Linked DNA regions of Saccharomyces cerevisiae S288C. The main gene of each other region encodes a partner of the protein of the gene in region 4 in a complex. Each region holds a gene or a part of one and is shown on either strand. Other genes may lie near its edges. The genes, in order: MRPL11, MRPL49, MRPL1 and MRPL20.

Region 1 (2,771 bases), on a different chromosome or scaffold from region 4:
AATAGGGTTGGTGTGAATACAGCGTCCCCATTAAATACATGGCAGGTGGCCATTTTAAAGTTATCAATTTTGTGAGCACCTTGAATGAATGTTCCAAAATGACTTTCTGGTTTTTGAGCATTTCCTCAGGCTTTAAGCTTCTTTTGAGCTTCTCCGCGTTTATGTTATATTGCGATATGAAATCCTCATTAAAGGCATATGTAAGTAATGTTTCACACCATTGCATTTGTATCTCGGGGGTGAATTTTGAAGAGTCAGTAATTGTCTTCTTGTACACTTGATAGAAAGCCAATGCCTCTGGTGAATAGGAAGACAGTTTGTCCTCACCACCTGAGGACCCATTATCGTCTGTCTTCGCGCTCCCAGTGGGTGGTTGGTTGATTTTTTGTGGTGGAACAGGATTATTATTCAAAGGTCGTATTGGAGCTTTTTCCTCGGTTCTGTAAACTTTTTCCTGCAGTATCCTAGATTCAGATTCCTCATAGGGTGGTGGCGCTGAGTTGTCCCTTACAGACTCTGATATTCGATTTCCACTGCTTATTGATGCATCTTGTACAGCTGGTGAACCCAAACTCTCTTTTGTAGAACTAAAATTGAAAGGAAGTTCATACCTACTACCAGTACTGTTGGTGCCATTATTGGCATATCCTATTTCACCTGTTGGCTTGGAATTAAAAATGTCCATGCCGTTATTACTATTTATGGTTACTGGAGTGCCTAATTGACCACCATCAGCATTCCCGTCTGTGAAATTCAGCGCACTCAAAGGCAGCGATAATGATGAGGAAGATGAAGGGGATGTAAAAGGAATAGCTGGTGTGAGTTCAACGATAGAGTCATCCACTGGATAGGGTGCAGGCACTATATTTTGAGCTGGCAAACCATGCCTATCCGAATTGGCATTTCCCAATTTATGCGAGGACTCCCGCGCCCTTGCTGGTGGAAACATGTTAATGTGTTTGTCATAGAGGTTAGGTTGCGGTTGGCCCTGATTAACCATTGCCTACTGTATTAAAACAAAGTATTAAAACGTGGTGGTACACTCTGTACAAAAGAATAGAAGGAAATGAAAAGAAAACGGAGTTAAAATCTACTTCATAAAAAGAGACGCTTCCAAATCCAGTCTCTACCACGTTCTTGTATATAATTTGAGCAACTCAAATTAAATTACCGGGATATCTGCTTATTCTACAAGCCATAGCATCCAGTGCTAAGGTTCATCTCAAGCCATCTTCAATACACTTGATAATTAGTCGTCAATTTTAAAATTAGGTTTCGTTCTTGAAGGCACTTAACCTAAGCTTTTTACTATATGACCTATTAAACAAGTCTTTTTCATAGTGTAACCTAACGTTTATACACTAATAACCCTAGGGCTTAGTAGAGATTCATACAGAAAAAAACGTAGAGTTATAGCAGTAAACTGAGAAAAGAAAGAAGGTTAGTACAATTGAAGAGTAAGGAAAACAAAAGCTTTAGACCTTATTGGAAGTGCTTGGGCGCGGAGTGTGATTATAAATAATGTTGCAGCTAAGGTTTATGCCTGGATGGGTCCCCAGAAATGGTTTTTTTGGTTTGAAGGAGACAATTGGTACAGTACATAAGAGATTTTATGCTCTGGCTTCTGAACAACCCTCAAGAAAGACAGTAAAGCCGCTGGACTCGAGGAAGACGTTTCTCATCGATACATACAAGCATTTAATGGAGAACAGTTCTATGATTTTTTTTGTCCATTACAATAATCTTTCCAAAACAGAAGATCACCATTTCAGATTCAAGATTAAACAGACAGGAGGGAAACTCACAAAAGTAAGAAACAACCTGTTCGAAGTCTACTTGAGAAATTCGCATCTGCCCGACCCATGTGGATTCGTGAAGCGTAAAGAGCAAAACTGGAAACATCCACTCTTGCCACTACTGAAGGGTCCTACGGCCACAATTACATACGAAGACACCAACCCTCAACAAGTAGCCAAGCTATTGAAGGTTCTGCAGTCAGCACAAGACAAGCTGATGGTGATTGGTGCAAAAGTAGAAAACGAAGTTTTGAATGTGGAAAAAATAAACACTTTTAAGACTCTCCCCACAAAGCCGGAAATGCAGTCGCAGTTAGTCAGCGTTTTGCAAATGCTAAGTGGGTTGGGTTTGGTTCGTACGTTGGAAAACAGTTCAAATGCATTGTATTTAACACTAAAATCTCACAATGACAACCAAAAACCTAAAGAGGATGTGGAGTCAACTACAGATGCAGAATCGAAGGGATCAAAGTAAAAAGAAAATGCCCGTAATTCGACAAGTTTTATAAAGGTTTTACTATTCAATCATGTACATACATCATCAAAAAATAAAAAGACAATGAAGCAATAACGGTAAATATACTTTAGTCTATGTATTGACGTCAAAATTACCTTTCTTTTACCTTTCTTACCTTTTTACATATCTCAGCGACCGTTGAAAAAAAAAAAAAATGAAAAATTTTGGTGATGACTTCAGCAAAAAATTTCAGGATATTTCTGACATTTCACTTTATTAAAGCGCCACAAAAGCTGGATTAGTATAGATTCAGCAGTTCCCATAGGATAAAATTTTCAAGCGTTTATTGTTAAGATGAAAGCCAAGCCACTAAGCCAAGATCCAGGCTCCAAGCGTTACGCATACCGTATAAATAAGGAAGAAAATCGTAAGGAGTTGAAGCATGTAAAGATCAATGAAAGTTCTTTGGTGCAAGAAGGCCAAAAGATCGACTTGCCAAAGAAGAGATATTATCGTCA
Region 2 (2,879 bases), on a different chromosome or scaffold from region 4:
CTTTCGTAAAACTGAGAAGAGGTAGAGTTGGGGGTTAGGTTGGGAAATTGGCTTCTAATATCATCATAAATGCTTTTGCGAGATGTTGCACGAGGGCTTTTGCTTGAACTTTTGGTTGATGCTACCGAACTAGTCGGCTGATGGCCGAATTTCACAGATGAGTTCGAATCAGACCTAGAATGTGTATGTGCTGTCCCCGCTATTTTCCTCAAAAAGGGCATTTGGAGGTGGAGTTGAACTATTTTAATACTATATTTAGTGTTTCGTACTAATGGTCACCCCTCTGCCCTTGTTTTTTTATTTTTTTTTTTGGTGAATCCATTACCTGATTTTATTATTATGCTTACTTTTAATTAACTTGTTGAAATTTCATAGCATTATAACTTAGAAGACGCGTCGGTCTGGAATTGAATGGCCATTGGGGCCGAAGAAAGTGTGTCAAATTTTATTGTTATTTACATGATTTTATACGTATGCGTATATGTACATATCCCTAAAATTCAGTTCATACTCAGTTCTGATATTCTTAAGATTGTCAAATCACCTTTACTCTTTGCATGACGGACCCGTCTATTTCTTCTCTTCGTTACCTCCCTAGTTTGGAAAGCCCTTTTAGTTTTCCCAACAACGGTTGCTTTTAAAGTATACAGAGAAGTATTGATTGGATGACCAACTAGCTTGTAGTTTCTAGATCCTAAAGTTGTTACATCGGTCATGTTTAAAATGTCACCCACCTCCGCTTGCTTCAATTTGAATGGAAGAATAACTCTGTCGCCCTCGGTCACCAAATATGGACGATTATGAATCTTGAATATTGCATATAGTTCATTTGATAATTTTAGTGGAGTTGTATCTGTCTTAGTAGTCTTAGCTTTTGTACTACTGATGCTTGAGGAAGTAGCTAAATTTCTGAATGGATGACTGGTAAATGGCCTATAAATAGGTGTGATTCTGGCCACTGGCCATATGAATTTCAGTTGTAGCATGAAAATTAGAGCAACACACTTAAGATTGTCTCGGCACAGTTGTTTCAGTAGGCTGTGAAGGTCGACTCCGAGTGAGCTTCGACATCTTTCTAAGAGTTCTCTAATTCGGCTACCCTTCGCAATTTTGCTCAATATAAAGCCCGTGCACCGCAAGATACTAGTGATTATGGTTAAGAGCGTTGAAGCCATTTCAATGTGAAGGCTAATATTCTTATAAAAAATACAGAAGAATTTATCTAAAGAATTCAAATTAGTTTCTTCCCGAAAGAGGATCTTAAACTTTTCATGACTTTCTTTCTCTGTGCTACCATGTGTAGGAAGAGCATTGGGAAGCCTGGGATATAAGCGAGCATGGCCGCTATTAAAATTCTTTTGTAAAGTAAAGAATACTGAGATTCAGCTGCATTTAAAGCACAGTAAATAATGCGTAGTTCGCTGGCAACACCAGTGGGGTACAAAATCCAGAACAAATTATATCTTAATAGAATTAAGATCTTTGGTGCGCCATTCTTGAATACCAACATGAAAAAATAATACAAGTATCTGACGATCTCAGTTATAGACCATGCCAGTAATAATGATATGTAAACAACTGATTGAACACCACTTGTGTTTGGCAACAATTGGAAGATGCCGAGGACAACTAGTAGTCTTGAAGACACTTGTGCAACAGTGGTCAGCAATGGGGAACGTACAACTCCTAAAAATGAGTTTATGATCTCGATTATAGCACCACATTGAACAAGGGTAGCGACATTTTTAGTTTGGTAGAAGAATGCTGGCTGTCCAACTTTTGGGTACAAGGAGATGACCAAGTAAAGCAAATAAGACCAACCAACAGCAGAAAGCAAATTATAAAGGGGTAAGAAGGACAATGGTGACGCAAGTTTTTTTGACATATTGTAGAAATTGCTTGGAGTTGTGCTTCTTCTTGTGTGATGATGAGTTATTTTGTATTTTGGATGCTCTTGATGGACCAATTCTGAGTTCGAATAAATTCAACAGAATTTCGAAAAAAAGTACACGAAAAAGAAAACGCCTTTTTCCTTTTTGAATACTAAACAATCGAAGTAAGTTATCAAACGGGCAAAGTCGCAATAAGGCACTAGACAGCATATGTAGTCCAAACGATTGTGAGTTAGGAAATACATGTGTTATTGTATAATTATTATTCTTATTATTATTGTTATTAATATTAGAATTATTAGAATTATTTAATTAGTATTATTTCCTAGTCCCTGTAATGCTCTGAATTAAATTTTACAACGCCCATTAATCGCGCCTGTTCTTCTTCATCCCATGATATCTTGTCCTTACTTTTGGATCTACACAATGCATATGCGGCGGAATCAGCATAATCCAAACTGTCTTCGTCTTCACAGTTATCATACTCTTCATCACTGTCATCGCTCAGTTCATCGTATTCATCTATGTCGTAGTCATGGCCTTCCGCGCTTAATATTTCGTCTTTATGACCTCCAAATTCATCGGTGGGGCTATGAAGTTCAAACTGGTGTTGAAACATAGGTGAATTCATGCCATTTTTTGATGGAGAAGCACGCTTGGGTATAGAATTAGAAGGTGATGACTCCCAGCCGTCACTAAGTTCATTGCTAAATTGAAATACACTTTCTTCCTTAGCATTAACTGTATTATTTGGTATTGTTTCAGATTTGCATGCATCCGTAAAACTTCGCTTAAGCTTCAATGGTATCTTATGATCGCGATTCACTTCACCTGGAACTTGTTCCGTGGCGTCAGAATCAGGATTGAAGTTTAATCTTGTTTTTGTACCATCTTCGTTAACGTACTCATAGTAAAGCTGCTCTTGGTCACGTTTGCCTTCTGATGAATTCGATTCTTTGCTTCTAACGGAATCACCATTACGATATT
Region 3 (3,110 bases), on a different chromosome or scaffold from region 4:
CATCTATATCTTCTTTCTCTGCTCTATCTGTGTTACGCCCACAAACCGGTATGCTCTTAAACAGTTCACCATTGAAGACTCCGTCCTTCACACCGTTGGGATTTGGCTTAATAGGTCAAAGAAGATGGAAATCAAGGGGTAACACCTATCAACCTAGTACATTGAAACGGAAGAGAACTTTTGGTTTCTTGGCTAGGGCCAAGAGCAAACAGGGCTCTAAGATATTGAAAAGGAGGAAGCTCAAAGGTAGGTGGTTTTTGTCTCATTGAAATTTCACATACTATTCAGATAAATTTGAATACTTCTTGTACATAGGTATCTAATGATTATGCAACATACACTTTCACTATTATTCAAAAATAAAAGAGCAGTTACTTTATTCCACTTTAAAAAGACGGTTACTTTGTATGTACATGATTTTATATAAAAAGAAAGAAAATGCACCAGTATATATATATATACAATTAAAAAAGTCCAACAAGACAAAACTGATTCGCTGATTAAGCAAAATCGATTACAATACCGGGGCCATGTGTGCTTGATAATGTGGTTTTACTCAGTATATTTGGTTTCTTAGATTTTTGATTATCAACAGCAGTTTTAAATGCCGCTCTAGCGGATATAATGTTTTGTAAAATTTCTCGATCAGTGAAGTAGCATTTGCCGACTCCAATGCTGATAGAGTTTCCCCTTTGCCTGAAAGGCATAGATCCTAGACTTTCTTGAAGTAAGGAGCTTATATCATCACTCACCGTACCTTTTTTGACAGAGGGTAAAACCCCACGAGGACCAAGTATCCTGGCCACCTGCGATTGTAAAGCTGGAACAATATCAGGAGTTGCAAATGCTTTGTCAAAATCAACGCTAATTTCACCGCTTTTAATTTTGGCAACAAGATCTGCTCCGCCAATCAAATGATTTGGGTATTTCTCACGAAGCTCTTCCAATTTACTTTCGTCGTTGGTAAAGGCAGCAATTTTGATATATCTCAAAGGCTTAGGAAATGTCACGCTACCGGATAAAGGCGCTGTACCTCTTTCACCGACTACCAATGTAGTCAAATTAATTGTCTGTTGCGATTGCGGTCTGCCAACTTCTGCTGCGCGTAAATATCTTAGTGCCTTTGTAACAGGCATGTACAATGGGCTTGCTGTAGCTGGTCTCTTTGCCTCGGCCTTTCGTTGTACCAATCTTTTCAACTCTCTTTTTTTGGCTTGGTCTTTTGTTAGCGAAGGTGCATTGGAGGACATAGCTGCTGGTTTATAGTCATCTGCGTATAGTTTTTTTGCAGTATGAAAAAAGCATCTTCTTGCAGGACCTGTGACACATATTTTCGGGATCGCTACTACGGATAGCATCTTCTTTGATGACTTATCACTGTTTAGTTTTCTTCAAATTCCCTTTATTTCAGGTCGTTTTTCAAAATACTTTGGTTTTTCGAAAGTTTTCTCTTTTCGCTTAAAAAGGAGATTTTGTCGCTAGTCTCATAATGTAAGTTACACTAAAAAATAGAGAATAGTAAAGATGAACTGGATATACAAATATAGTATATTTTTACCGCTGTTGAAAACATTTCGTTCCCTCCCATGATACATTCATATTTTTTGTGGGTTTCAAGACTACCATAATACCTACTTTAGAAAAGCTTCGATTAGGTAAAAAAGTTCTATATGCTTTGATGTCGGGCATTTTTACGCATTTAAACATTTATATGATATAAATCTACTTTCTTTTTTTCTTCTTCAACTTGTTCTCAAAGTCTATCCATTTGCTTGGAATACCTAGCTTGTTAAGGTGATCAATGATCGATTGACCGTGTGGACCTTGAACCTGCACTTCAGCACATTTGAATGTTTGTGATTCACTTATTGTTGTCGATCCGCTACAAATCTTTCTTAAGTCAGCCGCAAGTGATTCTGGGTCGACTTGAAACACTTCAAAATTGCTCACTCTGGTAATAACTTTTCTGCCAATTTTCATTTCAGTAATAATCTTAATATGCGGAAGGGAACCCTTCATTGGCGCCTTGAACAAGAGAGTATCATCGCTTTTGAATATCTGATAGAACTCGGTAAAATTATTGGTGAGTAAGGGATGCAAAATTTCACCTCTAGCAATGATACGTGAAGCATTCAAGACTTTCTTCTTCTTATTGACCATATCGAATAATAGATCGTCCATAATAACTTTTCCTTTATCTTTTGTGTCTGCTAGGTTCTTGACAGAAATATACTGAGAAACCGCGCTTCTAATGTCCTGAGAGGTGTAGTACGTGTGAGAAGCCAAATTAACCTCCTTCAAAAGATCTTTGGCAAGATTAAAGGGTTTATACAGAGTCAGTGAATACATCATTCCAGATGTTTTCTCCTTCGAGGTTGTGCTCTCCCTACTTTCTGTGGCAGACTTGCTACAACCAAGCTTATATGGCACAAAGTTCTTTAACTCATCCTTGTCAGTATTTTTGCCCACAATAGTTAAGTCATCCCCCTTTCCTTTTAATTTCAAGAAGCCTTCTTTCTCGAAGTGTTTCAAAAATTTTGCGCTTTTTTTCCATGAAGTTTTCTTTACATTGACTTCATTGTGATCAATTGGAGGCAAATTACGCATAATGTGGTTTGAGATGAAGTTAGAAGCTGAAATGGGTAATTCCAAACCTTTATCTTGAGTCAAGGTATAATATAATGCTCTTGTAATGAAATAATCTACATCCGACACAGTGAAATGGTCTAGAACTTCAGCAATCTCCTCTACATCAACAGACGCTTCTTTTACATCTTCTTGTTCCTTTTCAACAGCCTTGATTTGCTCCGAGGATTCTATCTGTTTACTACTGATATTGTTATCCTTTGATTGAGTACTGAGAACAAATGGAGGTTCCAATTTCATTTTAAAGACTTTGGAGAGCCCATCATTGAAATGATGTATGATTTTGACAGCAACTCCTGTTTCACCAATTACTTTATCAAAGGACGGTAGATCTAATTCGACAATACCGATGGCTAAGACAGTTTCTGGTGCCTGTTTGCTAGCTATACCACAAAGAGTACCTATTTTACAACGAGGATCAAAGGGTGGGATCGAACCGGAAATCATTAAGTTAGCGCCGTTGA
Region 4 (3,035 bases):
TTGAGTAACATTCGCACTCCCATTAGCAGCAGCAATTGGCTTCTTTGGTGTCTTCTTCTTCTTCAAAGTTTTCTTCAATTCCGCCAGCGTGCTTTCCAAATCGAAATTGTTGTCAAACAAAGCTAGCTTAAGTGAAAGATTATCCCAGCCTTGGTAATCCTGTAACTGCGCCTTTAGAGTAGGAAATACCTCGTTCATTAGATCATATTCATCGTCATTCAAATAATCATCAAATTCACCTTCGTCGTGAAAGTCCGGCATGTCGTCTGCTCCATCGCTGTAGTCACTGTAAGCCATCTCGATAGTCAATAGTTGTCGAAGCAGAAGCCTTTGGGTGTCTCCAAGCTGTACTTAACTCTTTTTAAATTGCTTATTGGTTAGCTTTCATGTGGTATATTCAAGTCACATTAATGGGCGTCTCCGTGCATTGTGATCAATATATGAATACGAAGTACTTATAGAGTAGTATTTACACGATTGTTATTATATTTATATAGCATTCACGCCTGGTACCACAGGAGTTTTCTACGCTTACGGTCCTCTCTGGCTATACGCCTCTTCTCCTTCCAGCGTGATTGGATTTCTTGCAATCTACTTTCCATAATTTGTACATGTTGTTCACTAGGTTTCGAGACCATGGATACAAATAATGGCGAAATGCCATATTTTGCAGCCAAAAATTTGCGTGTATACTTTTGAGGATTGTCAAGACGTAACTTCCGGATCTCATCAATTTCTTGAGGTCCCAGATGATAGGTTTTGCCGTTCACTGTGCTCTTACCTACGAGAACATTTGGACACTGCTTCGCTTTAGTGCTTTGAACAGGCATGTCAAGCCCTCTACGAGGGTCACTGGCTGCCATAAAGCTACGTGGAATGGTCTCACTGTTAACAGATCCGGTTGCGATGGATTCTGATGGTTGATAGTACATTCCTGGAGCATCTCTGTGCTTTAAATACCCTTTATAGTTAGATGCGCTCTTAGTCTTGTTGTAAATCGTTGTCACTTGTGTTTTGGGAAATCCAAATTGCTTCCAGGCAGATCCAGCAGTGTGGAACGATCTGCAGCACACACCTCTGCCAATCATTCTTGTGCTATTTTACTTTGTCTTTAATTTTCCATTTTAACTTGTTGAAAGTATCTCTTTTTGCCCTCTTTTCTATTTTCTCAAATAATAAAAGCGGTGAAAGCTGAAAAATTCATGAGATGACTGCAGATGATAAAACACAAGAAGGCCCAAAGACAATACAAATACCTCTGGTATGGGTCATTCGGGGCGTGAGGAAAGGATAAAAGACATATTTAAGGAACTTACGTCAAAAGAACTAACGCCTGGGTTGCTTTTGACACTGCAGAAACTAGCGCAAAAGCCGAATACTAATCTAGAACAGTTTATTGCCAGCTGTAAAGCTTTGACGAAACTCAGCAGTAACAATCCAATCATTTTTAATGAACTTCTGGAGCTCCTCAAGAATAAATCTGAAGAGGACTCGACAGGCCCAAAGAAAATCGCCCCTTCTATAAATAAGAGAAAGAAATTTAAGATCCAGTTAGACCTTGACGATAATGAAGATGAGCTAGATTCTCCAGTTCAAAAAAAACCAGCACCTACACGGACGTTGTTCAAGAGAATAGATAAACTAAAGGCCAAACAGTTGAGGCAGTATTCGCCCACCGTGAAGGATCCTTCTCCAAATAGTGAACAGCAAACACAGAATGGTCATGCTGAAACGAAGGACTATGAACCGACTCGAAGCGAAGTAGTTGAGGAGGACAGAGAATGGTATGATAATGATGATGATTATGGAAATTTGGTGCCTGAACCTCTGTCTGAATTGCCTGAGGAAGCGAAACTACTACCTGTCATTAGGAATATCGACAACGATGATGCCTTACGAAATACCGTTCAATTATACCCCATACCACTCAAGCAAAGAATGGAATGGATCCCTCCTTTTTTATCAAAGTTTGCTCTTGAAAACAAAGTGCCCACTTCCATAATTATCGGGTCCATCTCTGAGACGTCCAGCCAAGTATCCGCTTTATCAATGGTGAATCCATTTAGGAATCCTGACAGTGAATTTTCTGCGAACGCCAAACGAGGTAGTAAGCTGGTTGCCTTGAGAAGGATAAACATGGAACATATTCAACAATCTCGAGACAACACCACTGTTTTGAACACTGCCATGGGGGAAGTACTAGGCTTGGAGAATAACAATAAAGCAAAAGATAAGAGCAACCAAAAGATTTGCGACGATACAGCTCTTTTCACGCCATCAAAAGATGACATTAAACATACTAAAGAGCAACTGCCTGTTTTCCGCTGCAGATCTCAATTGTTATCATTGATAAGAGAAAATCAAGTAGTGGTGATAATTGGTGAAACGGGCTCAGGTAAAACCACGCAACTTGCACAGTATTTATATGAAGAAGGATATGCCAACGATAGGGGGAAATCTATTGTTGTCACACAGCCGAGAAGAGTAGCAGCCATATCCGTTGCAAAAAGGGTTGCAATGGAAATGCAAGTTCCATTGGGTAAGGAAGTAGGCTATTCTATAAGGTTTGAAGATGTGACGGATTCTGAGTGTACAAAACTTAAGTTTGTAACGGATGGTATTCTACTCAGAGAGACCTTATTGGATGATACACTCGATAAATATTCGTGTGTTATTATTGATGAAGCTCATGAAAGGTCATTAAATACAGACATTTTACTAGGTTTTTTCAAGATTTTATTAGCACGTAGAAGAGATCTAAAACTCATAATCACTTCAGCAACAATGAATGCGAAGAAGTTCTCCGCATTTTTTGGTAATGCTCCTCAGTTCACAATTCCTGGAAGAACTTTCCCCGTACAGACCATATATACTTCCAACCCTGTTCAAGACTACGTAGAAGCTGCAGTTTCTCAGGCTGTGAAAATTCATTTAGCAAACGATTGTTCAAGCGGTGATATTCTCATTTTCATGACAGGTCAAGAAGATATTGAAACAACGTTCGACACTCTGCAAGAAAAGTTTTTGCAAGTATA

The links.
Region 1: MRPL20 (region 4) and MRPL11 share a complex: the UniProt entries of both Saccharomyces cerevisiae proteins name them as parts of the mitochondrial large ribosomal subunit.
Region 2: MRPL20 (region 4) and MRPL49 share a complex: the UniProt entries of both Saccharomyces cerevisiae proteins name them as parts of the mitochondrial large ribosomal subunit.
Region 3: MRPL20 (region 4) and MRPL1 share a complex: the UniProt entries of both Saccharomyces cerevisiae proteins name them as parts of the mitochondrial large ribosomal subunit.

Annotation. Positions count from the first base shown.
Region 1 is NC_001136.10:96,954-99,724, forward strand, and holds MRPL11 (mitochondrial 54S ribosomal protein uL10m MRPL11), read left to right. Parts: upstream 1-1,521; coding exon 1,522-2,271; downstream 2,272-2,771. Other genes in the region: ACK1 (Ack1p), read right to left, coding at 1-1,000; TRM8 (tRNA (guanine46-N7)-methyltransferase), read left to right, coding at 2,608-2,771. UniProt on the Saccharomyces cerevisiae protein: Component of the mitochondrial ribosome (mitoribosome), a dedicated translation machinery responsible for the synthesis of mitochondrial genome-encoded proteins, including at least some of the essential transmembrane subunits of the mitochondrial respiratory chain.
Region 2 is NC_001142.9:244,597-247,475, reverse strand, and holds MRPL49 (mitochondrial 54S ribosomal protein bL21m MRPL49), read right to left. Parts: upstream 987-2,879; coding exon 501-986; downstream 1-500. Other genes in the region: mitogen-activated protein kinase kinase kinase BCK1, read right to left, coding at 1-221; enoyl-CoA hydratase PHS1, read right to left, coding at 1,232-1,885; SAP185 (Sap185p), read right to left, coding at 2,218-2,879. UniProt on the Saccharomyces cerevisiae protein: Component of the mitochondrial ribosome (mitoribosome), a dedicated translation machinery responsible for the synthesis of mitochondrial genome-encoded proteins, including at least some of the essential transmembrane subunits of the mitochondrial respiratory chain.
Region 3 is NC_001136.10:682,224-685,333, forward strand, and holds MRPL1 (mitochondrial 54S ribosomal protein uL1m MRPL1), read right to left. Parts: upstream 1,359-3,110; coding exon 501-1,358; downstream 1-500. Other genes in the region: YDR114C (uncharacterized protein), read right to left, coding at 1-3; mitochondrial 54S ribosomal protein bL34m MRX14, read left to right, coding at 1-269; TMA64 (Tma64p), read right to left, coding at 1,723-3,110. UniProt on the Saccharomyces cerevisiae protein: Component of the mitochondrial ribosome (mitoribosome), a dedicated translation machinery responsible for the synthesis of mitochondrial genome-encoded proteins, including at least some of the essential transmembrane subunits of the mitochondrial respiratory chain.
Region 4 is NC_001143.9:598,594-601,628, forward strand, and holds MRPL20 (mitochondrial 54S ribosomal protein mL58 MRPL20), read right to left. Parts: upstream 1,089-3,035; coding exon 501-1,088; downstream 1-500. Other genes in the region: ribosome dissociation factor GTPase HBS1, read right to left, coding at 1-297; DEAH-box RNA helicase PRP16, read left to right, coding at 1,264-3,035. UniProt on the Saccharomyces cerevisiae protein: Component of the mitochondrial ribosome (mitoribosome), a dedicated translation machinery responsible for the synthesis of mitochondrial genome-encoded proteins, including at least some of the essential transmembrane subunits of the mitochondrial respiratory chain.